Caenorhabditis elegans: one gene and its partner. The protein of the gene in region 1 interacts with the protein of each later gene in a pairwise test. Each region holds a gene or a part of one and is shown in the gene's direction. Other genes may lie near its edges. The genes, in order: sws-1 and rip-1.

What was found.
Region 2: the proteins of sws-1 (region 1) and rip-1 interact in a two-hybrid assay, tested with the Caenorhabditis elegans proteins (2 studies listed by BioGRID).

What each region holds. Positions count from the first base shown.
Region 1 is NC_003283.11:18,973,913-18,989,597, reverse strand, and holds sws-1 (SWIM-type domain-containing protein), read left to right. Parts: upstream 1-8,118; 5' UTR 8,119-8,141; coding exon of another isoform or gene 8,142-8,279; 5' UTR 8,280-8,457; coding exon 8,458-8,484; intron 8,485-8,526; coding exon 8,527-8,625; exon of another isoform or gene 8,626-8,670; coding exon 8,671-8,877; intron 8,878-9,973; coding exon 9,974-10,216; 3' UTR 10,217-10,278; downstream 10,279-15,685. Other genes in the region: reps-1 (REPS (RalBP1-associated Eps domain-containing protein) homolog), read left to right, coding at 269-684, 785-896, 1,766-1,984, 2,112-2,170, 2,614-2,934; mrps-35 (Small ribosomal subunit protein mS35 mitochondrial conserved domain-containing protein), read right to left, coding at 3,983-4,225, 5,442-5,791, 7,305-7,671, 8,142-8,279; Y39B6A.41 (Major facilitator superfamily (MFS) profile domain-containing protein), read left to right, coding at 11,622-11,785, 13,803-13,919, 14,063-14,320.
Region 2 is NC_003281.10:10,245,622-10,260,570, reverse strand, and holds rip-1 (RFS-1 Interacting Partner), read left to right. Parts: upstream 1-1,829; 5' UTR 1,830-1,834; coding exon 1,835-1,977; intron 1,978-2,319; coding exon 2,320-2,593; intron 2,594-2,643; coding exon 2,644-2,758; intron 2,759-3,259; coding exon 3,260-3,357; 3' UTR 3,358-3,398; downstream 3,399-14,949. Other genes in the region: BBSome complex member bbs-5, read left to right, coding at 266-381, 493-1,077, 1,463-1,699; R01H10.4 (uncharacterized protein), read right to left, coding at 3,425-3,689, 4,545-4,664, 4,714-4,911, 5,494-5,648; Coronin-like protein cor-1, read right to left, coding at 5,997-6,134, 6,901-7,107, 7,857-8,085, 8,658-8,775, 8,824-8,887, 9,003-9,625, 9,973-10,225, 10,600-10,707 and 1 more; div-1 (DNA polymerase alpha subunit B), read left to right, coding at 12,025-12,115, 12,172-12,352, 12,862-13,190, 13,370-13,549, 14,124-14,303, 14,524-14,749, 14,814-14,949.

The sequences.
Region 1 (15,685 bases):
AGTTTGGGCGCTGCTAATTCAATTTTGGGCGCTGCTAAACTACAAACTACAAGATTTTGGGCGCTGCTAAAGCTACAAACTACACAATTTTGGGCGCTGCTAAAGCTACAAACTACACAATTTTGGACGCTGCTTTTCCGTTTAGCGGCGCCAAAATCGATTTTTTCTATTTTTAAGCACATTTTCTCAGGGAAAATTGCAAAAATCGAAATTATTTCGGTTTTAAAGCTAAAAAACTCGAAAAAATCCAAATTTCCCCAATTTTCAGCCGATTCCAACGCGGATTCTCTCTTCAAAATCACTGAAAAACAGCAGGAATACTACACAAAATGCTTCCGTCACTTAATAAAAACCACTCAAGGCGCCGCAGACCTCTGCGGAGCCCTTTGCGGAGCCGATCAACGAATTGTAGCGTTTTTCAAGAGAAGCTCGCTGGATATGAGCTCTTTATCGAAAATCTGGTCGCTGGCCGATGTGAATGAAGACGGATGGTTGGATTTAAACGAATTCTCGATTGCGATGCATTTAGTAGTGTTGAAAGTGAAAGGAGAAGTTCCGATTCCTGATGTGCTACCCGGTTTCGCGCGGCCACCACTTACAGAGCCACGGGCTCCGTCTACAGTTGCGGCGACGCCTAGTCCCGCCGGTGCAGGACATGTAGAAGCTGATGGGCCAGTGAAAAATGTGGGGGTTTTTGAAATAATTTAATTGACTTTTGAATATGTATCATCATTCAAAACATTAACGACGTTTTTTTTTTAATTTCGAATTTTTCCAATTCCAGTGGGCAAACCAGCCAATCATCAAACAATTCTCGGATACACCGCCATTATTAGTGGACAGTAGGCCAACAGCTATCAAGCATTCTGCATTGTTAGCACTTAAGAGTCCACTGGGTAAGTTTGGATTCATTGAAGAAATTGTTGTAGTGTTTATTATACTTCTCAAATGTGTGAACACAATATAAAAAGTTTAAATTATTGACTAATAATAATTTATTCGAAAAATTGCTAGTTGAATAGCAGTCATACTACAAAAACTACAATAGTTTTCGATTCAAATGTTTTAGAAAACCTAGTTTTCTAATCAGTAACATAGTTATTTATATACTGACTAAGTAACTAATTATTTAATTAATAACTATTTAAGTACGTTTTTAATTCGTGACTTAGTTAGTAATTAAAATACTTACTGAGTTGCTAATTATATAACTTGGTAAGTAGTTAATTAGAAACTTAGTTATGAAATTACTAACTCAATACGAATTTAATTACTAACTTAGTGAGTATTTAATTAGTAACATAGTTATTTAATTTATAACTCAGGAAGTATTTAATTAGTGACTTAGTTAGTAATTAAATAACTAAGTAAGTATTTAATTACTAACCCTGTTAGTGTTAATTAGTAACAAAGTGAGTATTTAATCAGTAACGTAGTTATTTAATTTGTAACTAAGGAAGTATTAAATTGCTACTAAGTGAGTATTTAATTACTAACTAAGTGGGTATTTAATTAGTAACAGAGTGAGTTTTTAACTACTAATTTTCTTATTTAATCATCATCTAAATAAGTACTTAATTAGTAACTTAGTAATTAAATTACTAACTACGTAAGTATGTAGTTAGTAACTTAGTTATTTAATTACCTAAATAAGTATTAATAAGTATTAAGTATTAAGTAAGTTCATTAAAACACGCAACACTCAATATTTAGTAGTATTTGCAATCTAAGAGCAGCGCCCGAAATCAATAATCCATATTTTCAGGACCCCCACCAATTCCACCTGTCCGCCCACAACAACAACAACGTGGACACAACAGAAGTGCAAGTCTTGACTTGAAATTGATTGCATTGAATAAGACAAAAGCCTCGGCGGAATCCCAGCTACCACCAACTACCCTATCACTTTGGTCATCACATTCCGATCCGACAGCTCAATCGATTAGTACTACAACGACTACGACTACTTTTGCGTCTTTTCCTGGTATGAGACTGAAAAATTGGGCAGAAATTCGAAAAAAATTTTAAAAAAACTGGAATTTTTCAAAAAATATATTGCTTTCAATTTTCGAGAAAAAATCAAAATATTCCCAATTTCCGCAAATTTTCAGCCACCCCGGACAGTATTCCACCGCCGATTCCACAAAGAATCACACCGTCACCTCTACCGGTAAGTTAAGGGAAAGCTTTTAGTTGTAGTTTGTAGTCTTAGCAGCGCCCAAAGTTTGAAATTATTCGTTTTAACGAATTTTTAAGAAAAACTTTTCAAAATTGCGATAAAATCGAAAATTAGTGTAGTTTTTATTTTCTGAACAGGTTGAAAATCACAAAAATATGATTTTTAAACAATTTTTGGCTATTTTTTTGTGCGCTGCTATTTTTTTGGGCGCTGCTAATTTTTGGGCGCTGCTATTTTTTTGGGCGCTGCTAATTTCTTGGGCGCTGCTAATTTCTTGGGCGCTGCTAATTTCTTGGGCGGGCTGCTAAAAATTTACTTGTAGTTTGTAGTTTTAGCAGCGCCAAAATTCAAAAATACTCATTTTTAACCATTTTTCTTCAAATTTTTCAAATTTTTCACTGAAAAATCTCCAAAAATTCACAATATTTTTGCAGAGAGTCATCGAAGAGGAAAAACGAATTACCACAACAGATTCATCAACACAAACTACAGAATTACTCTATTCTGAGGAAGATGTGAAGAGCTTTTTCTCGAAAATCGGCCATCAAATCGACGATTTAATTGGAGAAGAGATTCAGGCAACTGATGGGCAAGGAATTGAACGATGGAAGGAACGTTGTACAGCTTTGAGGACTCAAAATTCGGAATTAGAAGCCGAAAGAGCACGGTTGGCTCAAGTACGGATTCAATTGGAAATACGAATTCAGGAATTTGAAGAGAGATCCAAAACTGCGTGCTCTTCTTCTACACTTTAATGATATCCCCGGTGGAGGAAAAATGGATGGGAAATTCGAATTTTTGAGGAAAAATAGGAAAAAAATAATTTTTTTCGGCTTGAAAAACTAGGAAATAACACATTTTATTTCGAATTTTCCGGAAAAAATTTTTTTTTTGGAAAAAACTCAATTTTTAGCTGGAAAAATAGAATTTTTAAAGATTTATTACGTTTGGTTAGGAAAATAACAAAAAAATTCGAAATGTATCAATTTCTATGGAAAATTATTTTTTCTGAAAATTTATTGATTTTTCTGAAAATTTATTGATTTTTCTGAAAATTTATCGATTTTTCTGAAAATTTATTGATTTTTCTGAAAATTTATCGATTTTTCTGAAAATTTATCGATTTCTATGGAAAATTTATTGATTTTTCTGGTTTTTCGCATTAAAAAACATGAAATTTGCCCATTTTAGAGCAAATTTTCAAAAATTTCTGAGAAAAAGGTATTTCCCGAAATTAAATTTAACTTCTAAAAAAGTTTTTAATTATTTTCTATCAAAAATTCGAATTTCCCACCAATTTCTCCCCCAGATTCCCCGCAAAAAACTAAAAAATCTGCATATTTCTTCATAATTTCTGTGATATGTCATATATATATTTCATTTTTACCTATGTTGTAATTTTTTAAAATAAGCATCAATTTTTCTATTTTCTGTGATAATTTAATCTATTACACTATCTTCTTTTTTTTTTTTGAAAAAAAAAATCATAAAGTATGTATTGATTTTTACACACATTAAAAATAACTATTTTTTAAAATTGGAAAATATATATATATAAATTTTTCCAAAAAAAAATGAAATAACATGAAAGATGGGAACTATCTAAAAAATTCGGACAAAAAAATTATTACAGATCCGGCTAAAAATTTGGAAAAAATTCCAAATTTTGACAGAATTTGAGGGATCTATTATAAAAACTGCTAGAATAACAAAAAAAAAACAAAAAATTTTCGAGAAAAAAAATTATTACACATTCGTGACGAATGTATAATAATCTTAGCAGAACTAAAAAAAAACAGTAAATTATTGTTGAATTCCGAGTAATTTCTTCATCTGACGACCGTATTCCCGCGTTTTTTCGACAGTTTCCTCGCTATTTCTATAGGCTTTCCACATTTCTCCGAATTCGTCAATCGATTTTTGATCTCCACATCCGGCGGCGCTGGGGCTTAATCCAGGCGTCAACTTGGCTTTTTCCAGTAAATCGATGAGTTTGGTTTTGGTGTTGGAGCCATCGAATTCAACTTTCAGAGCGTCGGTGCGGTTCTGGAAAAAAACATTGGAAATTTGGCTGAAAAATCGATAAATTTCCGGAAAAATCAATAAATTTCCAGAAAAATCAATAAATTTTTACAAAAAGCACTGAATTTTCAATAAAAATCAATAAATTTCCAGAAAAATCGATAAATTTTTACAAAAATCACTGAATTTTCAATAAAAATCAATAAATTTCCAGAAAAATCAATAAATTTCCAGAAAAATCGATAAATTTTTAGAAAAATCAATAAATTTCCAGAAAAATCAATAAATTTTTACAAAAAGCACTGAATTTTCAATAAAAATCAATAAATTTCCAGAAAAATCGATAAATTTTTAGAAAAATCAATAAATTTCCAGAAAAATCAATAAATAAATTCTTACAAAAATCACTGAATTTTCAATAAAAATCAATAAATTTCCAGTAAAATCGATAAATTTTTACAAAAAGCACTGAATTTTCAGAAAAATCGATAAATTTCCAGAAAAATCGATAAATTTTTAGAAAAATCGATACGTTTTCAGAAAAATCGATAAATTTCCAGAAAAATCGATAAATTCCTAGAAAAATCGATAATTTCTAGAAAAATCAATAAATTTTTAGAAAAATCGATAAATTTTCAGAAAAATCGATAAATTTTTAGAAAAATCACTGAATTTTCAATAAAAATCAATAAATTTACAGAAAAATCGATAAATTTTTAGAAAAATCACTGAATTTTCAATAAAAATCAATAAATTTCCAGAAAAATCGATAAATTTTTAGAAAAATCGATAAATTTCCGGAAAAATCAATAAATTTCCGGAAAAATCAATAAATTTTCAGAAAAATTGATAAATTTTTAGAAAAATCACTGTATTTTCAATAAAAATCAATAAATTTACAGAAAAATCGATAAATTTTCAGAAAAATCAATAAATTTCACAAAAATCGATAAAGTTCGGGAAAAACCAAAAAAAAAACCGGGAAATAACTATCAGAGCTCAATCTTCGGGTATTTTCTGATAAAGATCTCTAGAAAACGTTCAAATTTTCGAAAAAATAACTTTTAAAAAAATTGTTTTCTTAAAATCCCTGGAAAACGTTATATAAACGCGTTTTTACACTCATGTTTCATGTCGAAAATCGATTTTTTTTAAACGAAATTCACCCAATTTTTCTGAATTTTTAGATTTTCAGCTCTATATTTCTAGTATTGGTAGAATTTCGCCGCCACAATTCTACCTTCAATTCATCCCATTTCTCGACTTTTTGAGCTTCATGATATAACACAGTTAGTAAATAGTGTGCATAATCGAGATTCTGTTGTCTCGTATGACATCTATCAGTGATAATTGTCATTTTTCCCGTTTTTTCGTCATATCGATTTGCGGCCAGTCGAATCAGTTTTTCCATTTGATTTTCCGACAATTTAAGCTCTGCCACGTGGATTTTCATAGTTACGACACGGCTTCTAATGTCACGGATTGAAGTTCCCTGATGAATGTATGTAGAATATTCTATGGAAATTGGAAGATGTTGACACGTGGCAGATGGATTGGAGAGGAGTTCCGGTGGGAATGGAGTACAGAATTCTGAAAAAATATAGAGAAATTTCTATATAGTACAGGTGTTTTTTGTGTTTATTTTTAGAATTTATTCCGAGAAATATTAATTTCCACGCGGAAAAAATATTGTAAACTTAAATTTTTGATGAGAAACGCTGAAAATTGCAGACTTTTCTAATTAGCAAAAGCAGCGCCTAAAAAAAATTAGCAGCGCCCAAAATTGAATTAGCAGCGCCCAAAAAATTAGCAGCGCCTGAAAATTAGCAGCGCCTAAAAATTAGCAGCGCCCAAAAAATTAGCAGCGCCCAAAAAATTAGCAGCGCCCAAAAAATTAGCAGCGCCCAAAAAATTAGCAGCGCCCAAAAAATTAGCAGCGCCTAAAAATTAGCAGCGCCCAAAAAATTAGCAGCGCCCAAAAAATTAGCAGCGCCTAAAAATTAGCAGCGCCCAAAAAATTAGCAGCGCCCAAAAAATTAGCAGCGCCCAAAAAATTAGCAGCGCCTAAAAATTAGCAGCGCCCAAAAAATTAGCAGCGCCCAAAAAATTAGCAGCGCCCAAAAAATTAGCAGCGCCCAAAAAATTAGCAGCGCCTAAAAATTAGCAGCGCCCAAAAAATTAGCAGCGCCCAAAAAATTAGCAGCGCCTAAAAATTAGCAGCGCCCAAAAAATTAGCAGCGCCCAAAAAATTAGCAGCGCCCAAAAAATTAGCAGCGCCCAAAAATTAGCAGCGCCCAAAAATTAGCAGCGCCCAAAAAATTAGCAGCGCCCAAAAATTAGCAGCGCCCAAAAAATTAGCAGCGCCTAAAAATTAGCAGCGACCAAAAAATTAGCAGCGACCAAAAAATTAGTAGCGACCAATAATTAGCAGCGACCAAAAATTAGCAGCGACCAAAAATTAGCAGCGACCAAAAAATTAGCAGCGCCCAAAAATTAGCAGCGACCAAAAAATTAGCAGCGACCAAAAAATTAGCAGCGACCAAAAAATTAGCAGCGCCCAAAAAATTAGCAGCGACCAAAAAATTAGCAGCGACCAAAAATTAGCAGCGCCTGAAAATTAGCAGCGACCAAAAAATTAGCAGCGACCAAAAATTAGCAGCGACCAAAAATTAGCAGCGACCAAAAAATTAGCAGCGCCCAAAAATTAGCAGCGACCAAAAAATTAGCAGCGACCAAAAATTAGCAGCGACCAAAAATTAGCAGCGACCAAAAAATTAGCAGCGACCAAAAAATTAGCAGCGCCTGAAAATTAGCAGCGCCCAAAAATTAGCAGCGCCCAAAAATTAGCAGCGCCCAAAAATTAGCAGCGCCCAAAACTTGTAGTTTGTAGTCTAAGCAGCGCCCAAAAAAAATTAGCATCGATTTCCACGTAGATTTTTGAGAAAAATATGTGAAAATTGGCATTTTCAAGTCAAATTTTCGGTAAAATATGTGAATTTCAGCAAAATTTCCATTTTTCAAGCCAATTTCACTGTTTTTTGTCAATTTTTCTATGAAACTGATGAAAATTAAGTGTTTTTAATAATGCGAAATTTCAGTTTACTTTTGATAGCTTGACAGTGTTGTTGAATAGCCGGTGGTGTTAAATGTAAGAAATTGGGAATTTTAACCAATTCCAAATTTCCTTCCTTCTTAAACGGTGCTCGCTTCTCAACATTTGGCCGTGTGCCCATTCGAACTGGTAACGGAACTACAGACGATGCAAATGTTCGTGCAGCTGGCCATACATCACACCATTTCTGTGCTTCTGGATCCATTTCTTCACTTCTCGGCGGTCTTTTTGTTAGGCGGTCCATTAAATCGAACCGGCTTCGAGTTTTGTATTCGGTACGTCCAGTGGCTTGTTCCAGTTGAGTTTGACCGCGAAGTTTTCGTTTTGGCATTACATAGAGCTCACGGAAGTCTTCACCCTGAAAATTTGGGGGATTTTGGTGCAAAATTGAAGAAAATCGACAGTTTTTGAGGATATCTACGTGGATTTTTCCACAAAAATTGCCCAGAAAATTGCGAAAACCCGGTAAAATTTGCAGTTTCTGAGAGTTTTTATCAGTAATTTGTAAAAATTCCAGAAAAATAGCTGAAAAATGGGGAAAATCGACAGTTTTTTGAGATTTCCACGTGGATTTTCGAACTTTTTTCTGAAATTTTCGAAAAATTGTGAAAATCCGGTGAAATTTGCAGTTTCTGGGTGTTTTTTTTTGAGTAATTTTCGAGAAAATTATGAATTTTAGTGAAATTTAGCTTTTTTCGGGTAAAATTGCTCCCAAAATGACAAAAATTGAGTTTTGGAGTAAAATTCGCTGAAAAATCAATTTTTCGAGCCGTTTTTCGATTTCTAAATGTCTTTTTCCAGCTATTTCTTCATTAAAATCCTCCATACATGCTCATCCTTCACCGCAATCGATCCACCGGCGACGATTTGCTTGGCTTTTCCAAAATCCTGACCTCCGACGGCGTTTCGCAGCTTTTCAGCGAGACTCGATCGATTTCGAGTGCTCACGTGTGTCAGGCGGTGCATTTTTACCTGAAAACTGCAAAAAAATTGCAAAAATCTGAAAGAAAATCGCGAAAAATCGAAGAAAATTGAGCGAAAATTAAAAAAAAAATAAAAACCCGTTGTCGGAGAGGAGTACACCGGCGGTGGCCTAGGAAACTCTGAACTAGTCCCCAGGCTCATTTTGAGCGGGAATTTGAAGATGGATGTTTTCGAGCTGACAAAAAAGGTAAAAACCATTGAATTTTTCCAAAATTCTAGTCATTTTCAGACACTTCTCGCTGTAATTTCCGAATCCAGCAGCTCAGATGACTACTTAGAAGCCCTGGCCGAGATCGAAGGACTCGTAAAACACGAGGCAGCAGCCACAGTTCGCAAAACCCCGATTTTCAGCCAAAAAACTTCAAAGTTTCAGAGTTTCCAGCTAATGGAACGTGGAAAAGTACGAGAATTGGCAGTTCCAAAGCCAGAATTCTATAATAAACGTCGAAAATTTGAAGATTTCCAGGAGAAAACAGTTTTCGACTGGAAAAGCGAGTTTAACCTGAAAAATGCGAAGAAAGTCGAGAGATGGACGGTGGAAGAGAAGGAAAAACGGGAGAAACAGCGATGTTTTATTGAAGTATATTATTTTTTATTAAAAAAATGTTTAAAAAACGATTATTTTCCAGGAAAAAGAGAAGAATTGACTTAAAAATAGGAAAATCTTGAATTTTTGAGTTAAAAACTACCTTTTTCCCACTAAAAACTTCAATTTTTGATTTAAAAATCGATATTTTCGGTTTTCAGAGCAGCGCGCTTTGTAGTTTGTAGTCTAAGCAGCGCCCAAAACTTGTAGTTTGTAGTTTAGCAGCGCCCAAAAAATTAGCAGCGCCCAAAAATTAGCAGCGCCCAAAAATTAGCAGCGCCCAAAAATTAGCAGCGCCCAAAAAATTAGCAGCGCCCAAAAAATTAGCAGCGCCCAAAAATTAGCAGCGCCCAAAAATTAGCAGCGCCCAAAAATTAGCAGCGCCCAAAAAATTAGCAGCGCCCAAAAATTAGCAGCGCCCAAAAATTTAGCAGCGCCCAAAAATTAAGCAGCGCCCAAAAAATTAGCAGCGCCCAAAAATTTAGCAGCGCTCAAAAAATTAGCAGCGCCCAAAAAATTAGCAGCGCCCAAAAATTAGCAGCGCCCAAAAAATAAGCAGCGCCCAAAAATTAGCAGCGCCCAAAAATTTAGCAGCGCCCAAAAATTAAGCAGCGCCCAAAAAATTAGCAGCGCCCAAAAATTAGCAGCGCTCAAAAATTAAGCAGCGCCCAAAAAATTAGCAGCGCCCAAAAATTAGCAGCGCCCAAAAAATTAGCAGCGCTCAAAAAATTAGCAGCGCCCAAAAAATTAGCAGCGCTCAAAAAATTAGCAGCGCCCAAAAAATTAGCAGCGCCCAAAAAATTAGCAGCGCTCAAAAAATTAGCAGCGCCCAAAAAATTAGCAGCGCCCAAAAAATTAGCAGCGCCCAAAACTTGTAGTTTGTAGTCTTAGCAGCGCAAAAATTCAAAATAACCTCATTTTTATTTATTTTTTTTTGCTAATTTCGTTGAATTTCAGCGAAAATTTCGTAAATTCGTTGTAATTTATCAAGTTTTCGTTAAAAATCACTAAAATTTTGTAGTCTTTGTAGTCTGAGCAGCGCCCAAATTCAAAATTTCTCCACTTCTCGCTAATTTTTTCGTTGTTTCAGGTAGAACACTACAAAAAGAAGGAATACCTCAATTTTCTGTACCCTGGCGTCCATTATTGCACCTGCCCATATTTCCAGTCAACCGTGCTTCAAAAGCAAACTAATTGGATTTGTGTTCACATTTTGGCATACTATTTCGCCAAAAATTTCGGAAAAATCGAACGGATCGAGTGTAAATCCGAAATAGTTGGACTTGTGAAGAAAATTTTTATAAGATCGATTTTTTTGGAGGAGAAAAAATGATTTTTTTTAAATGGTTTTTTTTGTTGTTATTTATATATATATTATTCATAAAGCTTATATTCTCTAATTTAATTTGTTTAATCACAAAAAAAGCCTTTTCCAACTCCAGGCACCTCTAGCCAGGCTGAAACTTATTTTGTCAGTGACACTTTAAAAAGACAAAAGAAACTGATAAGAAGTACTATTACTTGGAAGGGGGAAAAGTGCACAGAGAACAAAGAAAAATGGTTTAGAACTTGATTTTATATTTAAATTTTTTTTTGGAAAATTTGCAAAAAAAAAAATTTCCGAAATTTTTTTGTTCCTAAGTTTTTATAATATATTCTTTCAAATTTTCTAGGTAACCTAATTTTACTTGAAAATGCAGATTTAGTTTTCGATTCCGGTCAATTTAAGTTTAATCATGACTAGGTTTTGATGATTTTAGGAAATTTTAGTATTTTGGGTCCCACCACGAAAATGCAAAAACTACTGTAACTCGGCTAATTTTTGTCGAAATTTGAAAAAAATTATATATTCAACCTCAGTACTTCTGGGCGGTTCGAATAAGTATAATCATGACTAGGTTTCGAAGATAACGTAATTTTTTTTTAATTTTGGGTCCCACCACGAAGCTTCTGTAGCTTGGCTATTTTCGTTGCGGGATTAATTTTTCTGTAGATTTTTTTTAGAATTTTAGTAACTTTTGATAACAATACATATTTATTGAGTACCTAACAAAAAATTTTTGGATAATATTTTTTCACAAAAAAAAACATTTATTTTTAGATTTTTCCAAAAAAATGATCTTCCAATTTTGGCACGATCAGCTAAACACCTGGCACCGCCCGAATGTTTACTTGAACTTGATGACTACTTGATAAAAATGACGAAAGACAGGGCGCTGATAAGGGAAATTTCTTTTTTTTTGGGGCAGCTGGCTCCAGGTCGCCGATTTTTGATTTTTTTTCTTGCGGGCATTTTTTTCTCCGATTCCGCAAGTCGAACTTTCCAACTGATTATTGATTTAAAAGTTTTTGCTTGTACGGACTTTTTAATTCGTTTATTTAAATTTCGACGAAAAATTCCAATTGTTTTTCAAAAAAAAAAAAACACTAAAAATTCTCTAGCTTTTGCGTTTCGATTTACGATAGTAAGAAATTCGAATTCAGCACGTCAATACGGTTTAAATAAGTATACTCATGACTAGGTTCTGAAAATTTTCAAAAATTTCCTAATTTGGGTCCCACCACGAAAACACAAAAACTACTATAACTTTGCCTATTTCTGTAACATCTTCAAGTCGCTTATATATTCAGAATCAAAACTTAAATGCGGTTCGAATGAGTATAATCGTGACTAGGCTTTGGAAATTTTCCCATTTTTAGGTCCCACCACGAAAACTACAGTAACCCAACATTTTCAGATGAAATTTTGTAGTCGACGACTGTTTTGGGCAACACTTTCACATGCTGTTTTCTCACAATACGGAGAAATTATGGCCGCCTGCTTGAATTTGATGAATGTTCCGATTAAGGGATTTTTTCGAGAAAGTTTACGCAAAAATTACGGCGTTGAGAGTGAGGAGACGTAAGATTTTGCCAATTTTAAGCTTAAATTCAAGTGTTTCATTAAATTTGGGTCAACTTAAATTTTTTCCGGAGGTTTCAACTCAATTTTGAAATTTCGCTGGGTACTGTAGGCCCAGGAGTACCCAAATACCGGATTTCACGACATTTTGCACAAAAATAGCGGGATAGCGAACTTCCTGTTGAAAATTCGAAAAATAATTGAACTGAAGTCTAGAAAATCATTAAATTTTCGTATAAAAGCTTAAAACTGAAAATTTAAAAAAAAACGAGAAAATATTGAATTTTCTATGAATTCCGTTGAAATTGTCGATTTTTCAATGCGAAATTCGAATTCCCCGTCACTTATTACCCCAAGCCTTCAGTTTTCAGGGTTGTAGTGCAAAATTCCGTCAGATCCGGTGTTTGGGAGTACTGTAGTCGGTGTTTGCGTACTTTCGAGGCTACAGTACTCTGAAAAATTTCAAAATTGAGCTAGAAGCCCAGGAAAAAATGTGTTAGACAGGAAATTTGATGAGAAACTCGAATTTCACATTGAAAATCCTAAATTTAGAGTCCAACAAAGTATCGAAAAATTAGAAAAATTCAAAAATCGCAAAATTTCACAATTTTCCAAAATTTTCTAGCAATTTTTAATGAAAAAGTCGAATTCCCTTTTACTTATTACTCCTAACCTTCAGTTTTTAGGGTTTCAGTGCAAAATTCCGTCAAATTTTTTTTTGGGTTACTGTAGTTGGGGTTTGCGTACTTCCGAAGCTACAGTACCCTCGAAAACTTAAAATTGTAAGAAGCTCGGGAAAAAAGCTAGTTATACTCAAAATTGAGTGGTGATTTTGATTTTTTTGCTAAAATTTTTGAATATTTGCTCTGAAAGTAGGAAAATTAGATTTATTGCTTCAATTTATAATTAAAAAAAAAAAAAAGTTTTCTAAAAATGATGTCACTCAAAACCAATGATCAAAATCAATAATTTCTCCATAATTATTATTGTTTACCGACCAGTGCAACAATGAAAAAATGCGGAAAAACATAATTTCTAAAAATATTCAAAAATCACATGGAATTGGTGCACTATGGTAGGTCTCTGATAAAAAATTTACGATTTTACGTTTAATTTTCTTATCAGTTGATAGTACAGAAATAAGTTCAATTAGGTTAGACTATGAACAATGTCTAAAAAAAATTGAAAAATTGGATTTTTACCAGAAAATTTTCAAAAAAAGAATTCTAAAAAATTTTTCAATGTTTTTTTTTGCTTAGAAATTTTATTAAAATCGAAATCCTCGTAAAAACTAAGTACTCGTGCTTTTTTCCCGCACTTCTAGCTCAATTCTGACATTTCCGGGGTACTGTACCCTCGGAAGAACGCAAACACCGACTACAGTACCCCAAAACACCGGATTTGACGAAATTTTGTACTAAAACTGCAAAAACTAAGGGTTAGGGGTAAAAAACGACGGGGAGTTCAAATTTCGCACGGAAAATTGCTAGAAAAAATTAGAAAACCATGAAAGTTTGTGATTTTTAAATTTTTCTTATTTTTCGGTATTTCGGACAAAACACCAGAACTTACAGAATTTTGCACTGAAACCGTAAAAACTAAAGGTTAGGGGTAAAAAGTTATGAGAAATTCAAATTTCGCGTTAAAGTTTACTTGAAAATGTTGGAAAATTGTAAAAGAATATTTGGGATTTTTGAATGTTTTTCGTTTTTCGGTATCTCGGACTCTAAATTGAGAATTTTAAATGTGAAATTCAGATTTTTCGTCAAATTTTAAATCTACGACATTTTTTCCTGCGCTTCTAGCTCAATTTTGACATTTCCGGGGTACTGTACCCTCGAAAGTACGCAAACACCGACTACAGTACCCCATAACACCAGATCTTACGGATTTTTGCACTGAACCCCTAAAAACGGGGATATAGGGGTAAAAAGGGACGGTGAATTCAAATTTTGTATTGAAAAATTGATAATTTTAACAGAATTAATCGAAAAATCAATATTTTTTTCTATTTCAGTTTCGAGACAATTTTCTCGGCATGCGCCTCATTTATGTTCATCGGTTTGGCGATTTCATTCGCGATTATGGGAAAATTAATGGATGGTCTTGGACGGAAAGAGACAATTTTACTAAGGTATGGTTTTTTTGGAATATGGAGAAAAAATTTTTGAAAAAAAAAATTTTCGCAAAATTTTTTTAATTTTAATTTTTTTAATATCCAATTTTTTTCCTATTTTCTAATTCAATGTTTCATTATTACAATAATGTTTATTCCAGAAGCTTCCTAGGAATAATTGGCTCAATGGCAATGCTCACCTCCCTCCTACTGAACAGATTCGAATTCTACGTGATTGGTCACCTAATTGCCGGAATGTTACAGGGTTTTCGTGTAGTTTTAATAATTTGGATAGCTGAATGTTCACCTGATTCGAAAAGAGGACTAACTTCACTTTTTATTAATTCCGGAGGGGTTATTATGACACTTTTGGTCACTCCGCTGTGTCTTCCCTCTATATGGGGAAATGAGGCCTTGTGGTGGGTTTTTGAATGATAATTTGAAATTTTAAGAGTATTGGGTCTTTATTTTAGTAAGCATATTGATTTTCAAAAAAAAACATTTTTTTTCAAATTTTCGAAAAAAAATTTTTTTAAATTTTTTCGTAAAATTGTTCTGCAATTTTTTATAAAAATTCAAATGCTCAATCAAATTCCACGTCTAAACTATTTTTCCCAAGCTTCAAGCTCAATTTTGAGCTTTCCGGGGTACTGTAGCCTCGAAAATACGCAAACACCGACTACAGTGCCCCAAAACACCGGATTTCACGGAATTTTGCACTAAAACTCTGAAAAATGGGGTAGAAGGGTGAAAAGTGACGGGAAATTCGAATTTCGTGTTGAAAATTACTTGGGAATGTTGGAAAAATATGAAAACTTGCGATTTTCGAATTTTTCGGTATTTCGGACTTTAACTTTAGAATTTATATTGTGAAATTTGAGTTTTTCATCAAATTTCACGTCTACCACATTTTTTTCTAAGTTTCTAGCTCGATTTTGACAATTACAGGGTACTGTAGCCTCGGAAGTACGCAAACACCGACTACAGTACTCCAAAACACTGGATTTTACGCAATTTTGCACTAAACCTCTGAAAACTGGGGCTCAAAGGTAAAAAGTGACGGGGAATTCAAATTTTGTATCAAAAAATCGTGAAAATTTTGAAAAGAGGGCAAAATTTGACTTTTTTTGAAAAAATCGTGAAAATTTTGAAAAGAGAGCAAAATTTGACTTTTTTTGAAAAAATCATCGAATTTCTAGAAAAAATCTTATTTTTCCAATTACTCATTTTTTCTACCCCGAATCACAATTTTTTCAAAGCTTAGTGTAAAATGTCGTCAAATTCAGTGTTTTGGGGAACTGTAGCCAGTGTTTGCGTACTTATGGGGCTACAGTAATCCGACTTTTACAATTTTTGACCAAAAAGCTCCAGAAAACTTTTTCAAGCAGAATTTTATCGGAAATTTAAAAATTCTGTTGAAATTTCATGTTTATAATTTTTGAAATGCCGAAAATTGACAAAAATAATAAAATTTGGAAAAACCTTAAATTTCAAGTTTTCTGAGAGCTTTAAACTAATTTCCAGTGTAAAATTCGAATTCCTTGTCATTTTTCACCCCGAAACCTCAGTTTTTAGGGTTTTAGTGCAAAATTCCGTAAGATCCGGTGTTTTGGGGTACTGTAGTCGGTGTTTGCGTATTTTCGAGGCTACAGTAACCCGGAAAACTCAAAATTGAGCTAGAATGTTGGGGAAAAATGGGTTAGCCGTGGAATTTGATGGAAAATTCGAATTTTTTAGAGAAATTTCAAAAAAAAAAGATTTATTAAAAAATTATAAAAATTTTT
Region 2 (14,949 bases), on another chromosome or scaffold:
ATTTACCGAAGTCATTGATCAATCGATACGATATTAAAAGAAAATACAAAAAATAACAAAACAATAGAAAAAACGAAATAAAATTGAATATCGCTGTCACAATTAGAACGGAAATTCGTCCCTCAATTCCGGCAATTTTTCGGCAATTGCCGATTTGCAGATTTGCATCGTTTCTTTTTAGGGTCGCCCATACTTTACAAACTCTAGACTAGAGAAAAATTGAAAGAAGCGCGATTTTTTTTTTGAAAAATTGACACACTTTCAGGAACGATGCGAGTCACCAACTTACGCCTAATCTGGCATGCCGCCTCAATGCCTCGGATCAATATCACGATTGGGTGGAATGCGATCACCGGAGTACAGAGCAAACAGACTACTTCGGTGGGTTCTACTGTCGAATTCGCAACGAAAAATCGATGGCCTAGTTTTACTTTTCGCGGCCACCTATCAAAACTCATAATCTTTTTTTAACTTCCAAGAAAAAAGTTTCAGCTAGTCACAAGAAACCGTGGTATATCCAATGAAGCAATCTACGTACTTGCCAAAGTCTCGGCGACCACTACAAAATTTGAGTTCATCTTCACCACCACAAATCCTGCATCTCATTCGAAACTTTTCAATACGATCTCATCAATCAGCAGAGCCTACGAGACCACCAAAATGTACAGAGAGCTCAAAATGCGCGGGGTGTTTATTCGTGAGGACGGAACTCTGAAGATCCTTCCACAAGAGACGATCATCGAGAAGGTGAACGGTGTCTGGAATCTGTCGACGGAGACTGGAAGTCTCGGAGTCTTTGTGATCACGAATATTCGTGTCGTTTGGTACGCAGAGATGAACATCGGATACAATGTTTCGGTCCCCTACATTACTCTATATTCAGTCAGAGTTAGAGAGTCCAAGTTTGGAATGGCGCTGGTTCTTGAGACAACTACCAGCAGCGGAGAGTACGTGTTGGGATTCAGAGTTGATCCTGCTGAACGTCTACAAAATCTTCTGAAAACTGTACAATCACTTCATAAGGCGCATTTGTTGAAGCCAATCTTTGGAGTTTCGTATGTCAAGGAGATTGCCGAGGTATTTTTAAAATGAAAAACGTCACCGACTTTCCTAGCATTATGTTGTTTTAGTGCACCTTACTACATGATTCAATGAAGAATCATCTTCAGATTTTTCAAATAAAGGCTTTTTGGAACTCGTCCTATAGGCTATATAATTTATAGTTTCTACAATACGTAGGATCCTACCCTAAACTACAGTACCCTACTTACTTGAACTGCCGTGAGCGGAACTTTCCCTGAACTTTGGATGTTGCCTCAAAAACCACAATGCTCAATTTTTTCGACCCTTTTCAAAATTTCGCTCCCACACCTTATAAAAGTGATCACTCAGCAAAAGTTGACCTATGATTCAGCAAAATTAGAAAATTTTGCAACGTTCAAATAAAACCAAACATTTACAGAAAGTAGAGCCCCGCAAGGACGACGATGAAATCGACATCATAGACAACAACGAAGATGACGTAGAAATCGACGATAAAATCCGTCCCGACGCGTTTGCTTCATACTTTGACGGGGAGCACACCGCGACTGACGAGAAGCAGCTACCGGTGCTCAACCCCGAGTTGGGATTGGCGATTGAACCGATTCGTAACGGATTCACTCTTCATGATCTTTGGAATATTCATGTTGATGTATAACGTTTTTTTTTTTCTGAAGATGAATATATTTATTTGGAGAACTAACATTTTGTTATATCAAATTCAGTTGCCGTAATTTTTACGTGTACATATTTGTGAAATTCTAGGCCACACTCAGAGTAGATCAATTCCAGAATGTCAGAATCGTGCAATTCCCTAACGGTAGTTTTTACTGATTCCCCGAAAATCGATGATCACCTATTTGCCAAGGCAATCCGCTGGGCGGACCAGAATCCGGATGATACGATTTTCTGGGCGAGACGGAAAGCGTTGGAGAGGTTTGTCACGTGGTGTCAGGATGTCCCATGTAGGTTTGATCTACGAGAATCGCGGGAGCTTAGACGCAGACTTCTCAACTGAATTCGCATGGTTAAGAGTGTGATGACGTCACATTTTTAGGAAAAAATCCCGCATTTTTTGTAGATCAATCCGTAATGGGACAGCCTAATACCACGTGGTTCGTAACATATATGATAATATGTGGTCGCGAAATGGGGAAAAACTCGGCCACTTGATTTTTTAAATTATACAGAATTGATCTCCATAGCGGGTAGTGACTCAAAACTTGACTGAAACAATTCGTTTTTCGGTGATAGGGAAACTTCAAATTTCATTTTCAGAATCCCTGAAATCGACGTGGAGTTCTCGATGAAAGCTGGCGCTCTGCGAAGAATTCGCTTTGGTTACAGTTCCAAGAAGCTTCTGCAAGGATGTATCGACATAGCGCTCAAAGCAAGCATCGGCTCTGAAGTCGCAGCGATTTTCTGCTCAATGAGCATCCCGCAGGACTGCCCGGAACTCGGTTGCCTTCTCGCCGCACTCGCCAATTTTTGTAATGTAGATGACGGCCGCGCGGTCGTCGTGATTGATTTGAGAGATGATAATGATGATGAGGTAATGATTGTAGACTACAAACTATAAACTATAACTGATAATGGTTTTAGAAGCAGGAAGGAGTTGAGGAATCTGATCCATTTGAGAATGCGAATTTTCTGGAGGAAGAAATCGTGGAAAATCCAAAGGAATTGAGTAATGAGCCTCGCGAAACTCAAACTCAAGGTAAACAAAAAGTGGCCGGCCGAAATAAAAATTTTCAATCAAATTGAAACTATGTAAACCATGGCCTAACATTTTCGAATAGTGTGTTTAGTGTTTTTCCAATCGTAAATAAACTTCAATAAGTTTTATTCGATGTGTTTTGAATAAAACTTATTGAAAACTTACTGAAAATGCTAGGCCACCTCGCGTACTACCGTGGCCTAGGGTTTTTGACTCACTCCAGGAATCTGCTGTAATTTTTTTTATTCCCAGGAAAATACGTAATTTTGCAAATTTCCTGAAAACACTTGTGACACTGAACAACGCCGAGGTCTAAGAAATTACCAAATTCTTAGATCTGAAAAATTCTAGGCCACCACTCGTTCTATGGTGGCCTAGGATTCTCAGATTCAGCCTTGACCCATTTAAAATTACCAGATTCTTTTAAAGTGAGTTTTCTATATTTTCCAAATTCAGAAAATATATTCTGGAAAGTACCTTAAAACTTTAAAAAATTTTCAGAAGAATTCCTGGAAAAGCTCAAGCGAGTCGCATCAATCTACACAAAGAATGTGCTATTGTTTGATGGAAACGAAGAAAAATTTTCAAATTGTTTTTAGACTTTTATTAAGGTTTTTATTAAATGAATTTTCAAAATTTATTATTGATTTTTTCATTTAAATTAAATCACTCTTCCTCTTCCTCACGTCGCTCCTCTTGTTTCTGAAGCCATTTTCGCCTCAAAATCTTGACTTGAGTCTTTGAAAATGTTTGCCGCCGGGAACATGGATGAAGTGTGCATTGAGCATCACATGGATTTGGAGTATACGGAGCACAGCAACAATAACATTTTCCGCTTATACTGATGCAGCTTAGCGGTTTTAAGGACCATACTTGATCTCGAATTGTTGGTGGGACAATTGCACCAAGGAAATCCACGGCTGTAGTATGTCTGGAATTTAAAAAAAATTAATTTTAGGGGTTCAGTTTTTTCTCGTCCACCATTATAAAAATTGTCTTGACACACTTTTTTGGTATTTTTTTAATTGAACAATAGCGAAGTTTTTTACTTTAAAAAGAATACAACAATTTCAGCTAAATTCTCGACTATTAAAAAATCCATTTCAACCTAGGTATCTATATTTTCGAAATTTTAATTAGAAAGAAAGGAAAATTTAAAGATTTAAAGATCAAAAAAATTTCCAATGGCTTTTTTAAGATCTAAAAAGGCTAAATACGATAGTAAACAATTTTGGAAATATTTTTAACGCAGTCAAAAAATGGCAATTTGGCAATTTTGGAACTCGATCAAAAAATGGTATTTTTTCTACAACTCTCTAGTTTTAAAATTGTTTAAAAAATTTGTAAATAAACATTGTAGGGGTTCAAATCTGCGTGACTGGTCGAACGTTCTCAAAAAGTCAAATTTTTTGAAATTTTGGCACTTTACCTACTTTGCCAACTTTGCCCTTTTGTATGACTAAAATTTTTCGGAGTGTTTTATTAAGATAAACTCGAAAAAAGTTATAAATTTTATATAATTTTTTGAAAATTGTGAAACACCTCAGTTTTTGCCACTTTTTTGGAAGTCTTCGATAAAAAAGTGTTCCTTCGATTATATGGTTCACTTATACTCCAAATATTAATTTTCTCAAAAAGTGGAAAAAACTTAGTAGATGTCACTTTTTGACTGTCAATAAAAGTTATTCAAAAAACTTTGAAGTTTTTGCGATTTTTATATTTTCCCCCACTGGCCTGGCTACTCCACATTCAAAAAACCAAAAAACCAAAAAAATGAAAAGTTCACCTCGGTGGCCATACTCTACAAAGTCCAGTGTCCTCGTCAAATGCCTGTGGAGTCATTGCGCACGCCTGTTTCTCGGTTGGAAGATCACAAATCCGGTCGACAACACCGATTGAATTGCCTCTAAATATGAATTGTTTATTGTTGTGCGTGTTGCAATTGTCACCCTTACCCAGCTACATAATCACATCTGGGTGAACACGCGACTTGAACATTGCACATTCCGCATGCCGTCGCCGATTTGTTGAAGAGCTCCGCGTAGTCCATCACTTTCTGAACGATTGGGTTACCGATTCCTGTGATGAGGGACATGTAACGGTTTTGGTAGCATTGCTGGGGAAGCGTACGCCAGAATGATCGGTCTGCAGTGCTGAAAATGGAAGAGCAGTGGAAAACTAGGCCATTAAAATGTGTTGACATTGTGGGTGTTGATTTATGTACGAGGGAAGATTTTTAAATGAAAAAAAAACAATTTCCAACATCTTGGTTTCATTGATTATTTTTTACATGGACGGTTTAATTGCTATGATTTTCAAATTTCTTGAGCTTGACCGAGTTTTCTCTGCCCGCGACCCCGTGGTAAGCGTCGACCTATGTTAAAGATTCAGGTGATATTTTAATGATAAGGTCAAATGATAAGAAAAACGTGATATCAATATCTTTAAAGAAGAAAAGTTTTCAAAAATTGATTTTGGAAATTGAAAAAAAAATTTTGTAGCAATTTTGAAAAATAGGAATTTACAAACAAAACGGGACCGTCATAGAGAAAATTCGGCCACCGATTTTTCAGCTGTTACGTCATGATTGCCGCCTTATGTAATAGATTTTGTTGATAGTTTAGAGTTTCTTAAATATACGGGAAAAAAAGCTTTGGACAAGCGAATTTTTTAAAACTGCATGGGAGCCCACGACCCTCCCCACCAAAAATGTTGGTTTTTCTCCTAAAAATCACCTGAAACAAGGTCCATATTCACTCCAATCATGACAATTTGCTGTTTTTCCCGCCTGAGATACCGACGAGAACGCCGAAGCCAAGAAAGCGTCAGCAGTCGGTGGTCCAGTTGCAAGTGAAGCCAAAACTGAGAATACTAGAAAACGAGGGACCATATTTTTGGAAAGTTTATAAGGATTATATCAGACTGAGATGATTGTGGATTTGTGTAGTTGATAAGCGAGAAGAAAAGATAAGGGAAATTCGCGCCTGAATCGGGTGTCGGAATCGAAAGTGTGGAGGCGGCGTAGCCTCCTCGGGACACTGTGGGGAGGGGGAGAAACCGGAATCCCGGGAAGTGATAGATGAAAAATAAAAAAAAGAGAAATGAAAAAGTTACCATTTATTAGGTTGCAATACAATACAACACACTTTTTACAAACAAACAAATAAAAAATTATCGATATTTTTTTTGAAATTTTTTTTTTCGAAAAAAAAGTTTTCTTTCAAAAAATTAAACATGTTCAAAAAGAATAAGCATTGCTCATATTACGATCAGCAATCTCCTCTTCGAGCATCCGAATGCGACGTTCGTGTTGCCGAAGCACAGCTTTCATTTTCATCAGATCTTCCAAAAGCTCATCCATGTTCTGAGGCACGTGCTGGAAATTTTTTATTTAAATTAATTTTTAAATTATACAAGAATTTTCACTATAACACCTTTGTAAATTTTGAAACAAAAAAGGGATTTTGGAGTTGCCTGGCTTTCTGGGGCCTTTAGAAAAGTTAGGCCACCCGTTTTTGGATAAGAAAACTTTTTGAATAATTAATTTTTCGTTAGAAAATAAAAAGGGCAAAATTGGATAAAAATTAAATTCTCAAAATCTAGGTCACGATAGTATTACTGGTGGCCTAGAAAATAAAAAATTTGAATTTTTAATATGTCGGTCCAATTTTTGGAAGAAAAACGAATATTATTATAAAACACAAAAACAATAACAACATATTAGAATGTACATTTTAGTAGTGGGAAAATCCTAGGCTACGGTGGGGCTTTTCATGGCCTAGAATTCGATTTCTAGGCCGTGGCGTTTAAAGATTTCAGTTGATGTTAATGAATTTGGAAAATTGGTTTTTCGAATTTTATTTCTATTTTTGAAAAACATATTTTATAGTTATTTTTTGAAAATTAGAAAAAAACGTTGCTTGACATTTTTTTAATAAAATTAAAGTAAAACACTAAACTGAAATTTTTCAAAGCTTGTTTTAATTAAAATTTAATTTGTAAGTTCCCAATTCTTATTGCTGGAAACTCGGCCACGGCCCACAAAAATTGTTAATTTTCTTACTAATTGGTTAAAAGTCAACGTGTTTTTGTTTTCTAGAAAAACAACATTTTAGTTGGTAAGCACAGTAAAAAACACGTGCCCCTACGTCAGACGCAGCTGATACACTGCCACGTGGCGATGCAGAAGCTCGGGAAGAAGATGGAGGTGGAGCTAGAGTGTTGTCCTCATCGGCGGTTCTTGACTGATCTCTCTTGATCCTTTCCAACTCGGCGGCGGCTCTTCTCTGACCGGCAGTTTGAGCACCGCCTCCGGGCTCATCACGGGCGGCACGGGATTTCAGTTGAACCTGGAAAAATGGAAAAGGTGAAAGTGATAGGATGGTGCTTTTTTGGAGAAGTGGGGATCATTAGCATTAGTTTTTTTTTAAATAATTTAGTTCAAAAGAAGCGATCGGCAAAATCCCTAGGCCACGAGAGCCCAGTTGGTGGCCTAGAACTTTTGAAAATTGATTTTGGCAAGGTTTTCAATCAAAATTGAGTAATGAATGTGCAGTTTTTGTTAGTTGAAAATCCTAGGCCGCAAATTGAATACACATGAGCTAGAAAAATTCACATTGAGAAATTTGGATTTCCTAGGCCACGTGCGAGCACTTGGTGGCCTAGAAGTTTCAAAAATGAATTTCAATACAATTTGTGACTTAAGTTTATTAGATTTAGCAGTTATAATCAGCTGAAAATCAAAGGCCCCCACATTCTCGGGCGTGGCAAAGGTTTTTTAAATGAAAATTAGGCCACGCCCTTGCAAGTGGCGGGCTAAGTTTTTTTCAGCCACGCTTGATAATATGGTGGAATAGAATTTTCCGGCGACCTCGTTTTTGATAACATATTTGAAAATATTTCCAGCGGGATAGAAAGGGATTATTGGGGGATAAAAATTCTTGACCGTCTTAAAAAAGTCATGAAAGAAGTTTTCCTCGTCAGTGGACTAGAATTAAATTTTTAGGCCATGATTCAATTCCAAGGCTAGAACAGCAAATTTTTAAAACCAAATTTTAAATTAATTCAAGTTCTAAATTTTACAAAAAAAAAAGCTCACCGCCTGTTTCGGCTTCATTGGATCAACCTTGCTCTCCTCCTTTGGGGGAATTTCAGTTCGAGAAGCTCTTGATGAAGCTGGACGACTTGGCGGTGCTTCTCTCATTGTAACAATTCCCATATCATCGTCAACAACTGGACGAGGTCTCGGGGATGCAGATGGACGTGGTGATGGTTGTTGAGATGACGGTGGACGTTCAGAGTAGGATTGGGTGGGTACTGATTCGGCGCTGGAATTTTAAAAAATTTGATATTAAAGAAAAAGAATTTTCAATAAAAAGTTATGTCAAAAAATTAGAAATTATAATAAAAATTAATTTTTATTTTCAACTCTCCAGCATTTTTAATTTCTGAAAACAAAATTCTTTAGAAAACCGAAAATTTAGATTAATGGCATTGTTTTTTGTTGGCATTTTCATATTTTTTAAAATGTTTTCTGAAAGGTTTTTTATGTGATATTTATTTCAGATTTTTGCCACCATTTCAGTTTTTTGTTGGAGATTCTAAGCCATATAGTTTCAAGTTTGGCAGGAAATAAGTTTTTTATTTATTTAAATACTGTAAAACACAATAGAAGACTTTTTTTTGGTGGTTTGGTGTTCGAGTAGGAATTATTAAACATTCTTGAATTTTTTTAAAAAGAAACATTTTAGAAAAAATATGTTGGTTTAATTTTCAAAACGAGTTTGTTTTCAATATTCTTAAAAGTAAAATTTATTCGCTTTACAATTTCCAAAACAAATTTAATCGAACCTAATTTTCTCTAAAAATTTAAAGCGTTTTCACTTTTTCAAAAACTCACGCAGTCGGAGCCAAAGTGCTCAAAATATTGGCTTTCTTGGCTACCTGGACCTTTGGTTTGGCGGCAGCTGCAGCAGCGGCTGCATTTACTGGCTGACGGTTTGGTGCAGCATTTTTACCTGAAAAATACACTGGACAATTAAAAAATAAAGAAATTTCCAGCCAACCTTCCATGAACTCTTCTGCGGTAAGGGCTGGGATGGTGGATCTGGTATCCGGATAGAGATCGTGCTGGAATATGGGTTCAGTTAAAAAATTGTAGGAAATTTTTCAAAATAATTTTTCGAGCCAAAATTGTTAACCTACAACTTTTCAGAACAAAACCTTATTTCAAAACTCCGCATACCTGGAAAAGATCCGATTTGCGCGGTACAAAGAACTGCAAAATATCCACAACTCCCTTCGTAGTCAACTTATAAATCCGATTAATTTCATTCTCCTCCGACGACATTCCTCTCTTCGACTGGAATCCAACAGCTCTTTGCGGCTCATTTGTAGTGTAAGTATTAATATAATGTACGTACGGAGCATCGTTGTTAACCTCATAGTACCGAATAGCACAATCTCCCTTTCCAACAAGGTACACCAAACCGGAATCTTCATCGTAAAACGGGAAGACGACTCCATTCGAGGTATCCAGCTCCTCTTCGACAATTGGGGTTGACAGATCTTCCGGGGCTCGGAGAGCATACAATCTTTCGGATCTTTTGGTGAAGCCCGTGCTCAAAATGAGCCCATCTTTCACAAAAATGGCTCGCTGCGGCTTGACACCCTCATGACCCATTCCCTCGTGAACAACCTCTCCGGTGTGTGAGTCAAGAATACGGATCTTCTTGTCCTTGCAGGTAGTCACAAATTGACTACCGTCAAAGTTGAAGTTGATGCTCCAGATTTGATCGGGGTGCCCGGAGATTTCGAGGAGTGCCTCTCCGGTTCCAACGTTCCACATAAACATTACGTTTTCTCCGCCTGGAAAGTAAAATTACAGTAAATTCATTTTTACTTGGGTTACTGTAGGGATATTCTAGATTCTGGTAGTACAGTAATCATATAGTACTCTAACAAAATGTCCAAACATAGATCGGCTGGTCTCTAATAAGCCTCAAAAATTTCCACTGAAAAACTACCTGAAGTTGGCTAAACTTGATAACAATGTACCTATAATTGGGTGAGAAGTTGCGGCAAAATTGCCGAGAAGTACGTCTACACCAATATTACAGTAACCCTAGATAGCCTAACTTATCGACAGTAACCCAAAGAAATCCCAAAACATCATCAGTAATCTTACAGTATCCATAATTTTAATTTTCACTAACCAGCAGTAAGAAGAACATTATTAGCGACCGGATGCCACGCAATGGTGTTAACTCTCTTCTGATGACCAGTCAACTCGACAGCTGGTTCTGAGAGATTTCTGTTGAGCCCACGATCCGGAATCACCCACACTTTACATGTGGTGTCTTCGGAGCACGATGCAATAACATTGTCGTTGAACGGGCTCCATGCGACTTCGAGGCACGGAGCCTTGTGAGCATCCACGAATGGATAGTCCTTGTCGACGCGACCGATCTGGAAATATTTGGCATTTTTTGGATAGCAGGAACGTGAAATGTCGGCTGCTTCAATTTAAGTTTCCAGAGAAATTGAAAACTTTAGTAACCAAGGAAGATTTCAAAATGGTGTTTTTGCAGATACACAGCTATAGGTGTAGGTTTTTCACAAAATTTCAGTTAACTTTTTTTTTAAAAATTATTGATCTTCTAAAGGTTTATTCAATAATTTTTTAAAAGTTTTTGTTTTCCGACCCCTTAGGTAACAGGTGTTGTTGAGTTGCTGATCATCATGCTCGGAAAAAAATAATTAAAAAATTAAAAATCCGGAAATAACATTTGAAAACACTTGTCAGGTGGGGTTTTTGTGTTTTATTTGTATAAAAAACTTACCTTATTCACTGGAATGACCATAAATGGTCCACCAGCCCCTCTGTTGATGAAGGCGATGAATTTCGGATTGACATCGCAGAATAATGAATCCCAAGTGATTTCTGTGACCTGAAAAGGTTGAATTCAAGTTTTTAAGGCGCCTTTAAATAGCGGGTACTGTATTTTCATATATAAATTTTTTAAACAATAAAAAACTATTTATTAATTAGTTTTCTATACTTTTAAAAATCTATTCAAATTTTTGGAAAAAAAAAGGTGTTTTCTTTTTTTAAACTTTTCTAAGAATATGAATTGGTATTTCAGAATAATTTTTAACGCAAAAGAAAATATCGGTGGCCGAGTTTTCTCTTTCACGGCCACGTGACAAATTCAATTTTTGGCATTAAATAACTCTCTAAGTTTAGAAAATAACTGAATTAACTGCGCATATATTTAAAGTTAAATAAAAAAATATGTTTCGCAGAATTTTTTTTGTTGAAAAAGGTATTTGATTTAGTGTTGGAGTTCTATGAAATTTTGAAAAAAATTAAAACATTTAAATTTCTTATTTTTCTGCGTTCTTAAATGTGCATTTCCACAAAAATCGAATCCAGGGGATTGTAAAAAATTTTTTTCAGATAAATTTAAAGGATGGAAGAAGAAAAAACTCGGCCACCGATTTTTTTGCGGCTACGTAGTAAAATCCGCTTTTCACAGTTTTCTAGGAGGTTTTTCTCTATAATATAGGAGTTTCATGAAACTAGTGATTTACCCTAATGTCAGACATGCAGCTCTCATGCTTGACGGGCTTACAGAACACGTGCCGGAATTTACTCTGCCGGACGATTTGCGCCATTTTCGATCTGAAAAAGGCTGAAGAATTGCAACTTTTCTAGTCAAAAGCGAAAAACGGCGAGAGTGTGTGAGAGCGGAGTAAATATGCAAGGATTTGCGGGTGCCTCCTGCTGCTCCTGTTGCTCTCCCGCAGGCAGCCCGGAGCCCCTGCAACTCGTCGGCTCCCGTGCTCTCTCCCATGTTACACTTTGTTGGCTCCCGCCATCGCCCCGTCTTTCGTTGAGATGCCTGCGTACTCTTGTTTAGCTAAAATCCTATGTGTCTCGGTGGCTATGGCAAATCCACAATTGATAACGTCGGGGGAGGGAATCGGAACACCCTTGACAAGTGTGCACAAAAAATGTGTGACGAAATGCGCGAAGTAATATAATAAAACTTTAAAAACTTTACTAAACAAAGTTCAAATTATTTATTTTTCTATCTCCTATTTTCTATTTCCCAAGTAACTCTTTGTTTTCTGCGGGGGCTCCGTGCCTCGGAGCTCGAATTTTCACAGTGCAAGCGCGCTCTACCGCAAAACAGGAGAGCGCGCGAGATTCAACTCGACTCACCCATTTTCTCATCAATTTCCTTCCTTTTTCCCGTCATAAAATGGCATACGAGTTCGATTTGGAAGATTTTAACGATAATCTTGAGCCATTTGGCTTTAATTGTCCCGCAAAAGATCATTTTATTGAAAAATGTAAGTTTTTATTCAATAATTATCGGAAAAAACATCAAAATATTGAATTTTTGCAGTAGAAGGACTATGCAAAACGTTCCGGAAGAGCGGTGAGGATATTGTCGATGATGTCGTTTCGGTGATGAGCAATCTTGGGCAAAAGTCCGTTGACTCTGGAATTTTGGCGAAATTAGAGGAGAATCTGGAGGCTCAGGCCCAGAAAACTGTGCACACGCCGAGATCTGTGAAAAAACCGGCGTAAGTAAAGGAAATCGCAGATTTTTGAGTGAAAAATTACATTTATCATCGAATTTTGCATTGGAACTCAAATTTATAGCAAAAATCTATTTAAAATGAGAAAAATCGACAGTTAAATGTTTTTTTTTTAAATTTTTTTCACGAAAATTCTCAAAAAAAAAAACAGTAAAAATAAAATTTATTTAGTGTTTTTTCTGTTGATTTTTGAAGACATTTTCGTTTTGTTATTAAAAAATTCGAAATCTAAAAATGTTTAAATTAATTTTTTCAGTTTTTTTTTTCAAAAAGTTTTTCGCAAACGCGCTTCACGGCCCAGTGAGAACGCTCCGCCCTCAACGGTTGGGTCTCGCTAGGTATTGGCGGCAAAACTGTAAATTCAAAAAACCTAACGAGACCCAACATTTTGCCGTAGAGCGCACTTGCATTTTGATAAAAATTTAATTTTTCTGCGCCCTAATAATATATCAATTTTCAAGTAAAGTCTCGAAAAAAACCGCATTAAATTTCAGACGCGGCCGTGTTCCGCTCGCAGAAAAAAGTGGATTCATCCTAAGTGGCGACCCCGATGACATTGAAAAACCGTCACATCACCTCACAAATTCAGCGATTGCAAAGCTTGAAGGACATTTTCTCGACTTTTCACCATTTCCCGGTTCCCCGGCTAATGAGAAATTCCTGAAAAGAGCCGATCCATCACATGTTGTCACAACTATTCGAGGGAAGAAGTATCAGGATAAAGGATTGAAAGGATCGACAAAAAGCGATGATACTATAAGAATTATCTCGAAAACGCCGAGTACATTGTATGGTGGAGATAAATCTTCTATGGTTATTGAAGGTAGAATTTTTTATTTAGAAAATGTTTTTCTCAAAAATTCTAATTACAGTACTCTTTAAAAGTGCACATCTTTTTGCATTTAACGAAAATTTTCGTGTCGAGACTCGTTACCGTATTTTTGGCACCAAATTTCGCTTATGAGTAATATTCAAGTTTTCACAAAAAAAACAAATTTTCAGCAAAAGCACAACGAATGGCAGATATCGCTCACCGTATCCAAAAATCATTCGAAGAAATTGTCGATTGGGGAAATCCATCGATACCGTCAGTTGATGTTGTATATACATATGGACAAGTGATTCATGATGAGACAAAGGATAATGAGAAATTTGGAGAGCATTCTGTTGCTCTTATGATTAGTGAGAATTCGTTTTTATGGGATTTTTTAGTTAAAAATTGAATTTTAGCCATGAAAAATTGTTAAAAATTTCAATTTCCAAAAGAATTTCTTGATTTTAAACTTCAAACTAATTAGGATTTCTGTTAGAAAAAAATCTATGAAATCTCAAAAATTGGAAATTTTTAATTGAAAAAACATATATCGAGTTTTTTAAAATAATTTTTTTTACAAAAAAAAAACGAAAGTTTCACAAATTTTGTTTTTATCAATTTTTTAAAATAATTTTTATAAGCTGAAATTTAAAATTTTCGAAATTTCAATGAAAAAGGCAAAATCAACTAATGAAAATTTTTAAGTTTTTTGAAAATCTTTTTAAAAAAATCGAAATTCAAAAACTTGAAAAAAATTTACGAAAAAAGCGAGAAAACTGTAAAATATGTCAAAAAAATGTGTATTCAAAAAATAGAGAAACCCCGGAACTTATGAAAAATTGAAAAGTTTCCGAAAAAAAAGTGTTTTTGGAATCGATTTCAAAAAAAAATTGAATATTTTTTTTGGAAAATAAAAAATGATTATAATCTAAAAAATTCCAGACGACGAAGACGGCACAATGATCCGAATGGATTTTAGTAAAATGACAGAAGATATAACTCTCTTCCCCGGACAAATTATCGCTGTTCGTGGGACCAATGAGACTGGCGAGGAGCTTCAAGTTGACAAGATCTTCCAGCCAGCGGCACTTCCAGTGAATCCCGTTGAAACTGACACTACGAGTAAGGTTTTAGCACAATGTTAACAAAAGTTTTTTATGGCCGAACTTTCAAGCAATTACTAAAAAATCAATTTTTCCGACATATCGGAAAACCGAAAATTTTAAGATTTTTTCGATTTTCCTGAAAATCTCGAACTTTTCCAGCCTGGCCGAGAAAATGTTGGTGGCTTAGTTTTCTATTTTACGCGGCCACGAACATCAATAAAAACCAAAATTTTCAGAAGAAATCTGGTTTGCGTGTGGTCCGTACACTGCGACGGACAATTGTGGGTATGAGCATCTCTGTGAGCTTTTGGACAAAGTCGTTGCCGAGAAGCCCGATATTTTGATGCTGGCTGGGCCATTTGTGGATAAGAAGAACACGTTTTTGAATAAGCCCACTTTTAATATTACCTATGACAATTTGTTGGAGGATTTGCTCTTGAAAGTTAAGGAGACGCTTGTCGGGTTGGTTTTTGAACAATTGAATTTCCTTGAAAATTGCAAAAAAATGATAATTTTCAAATTTCAGCACAAAAACGCAAGTGATCATTCAACCGAACGCATCCCGTGATCTTTGTGTTCCTCCGGTCTTCCCAAGTGCTCCGTTCCAACAGAACCGAAAACTCGATAAAATCAAGAAAGAGCTGATCTTCGTCGCCGATCCA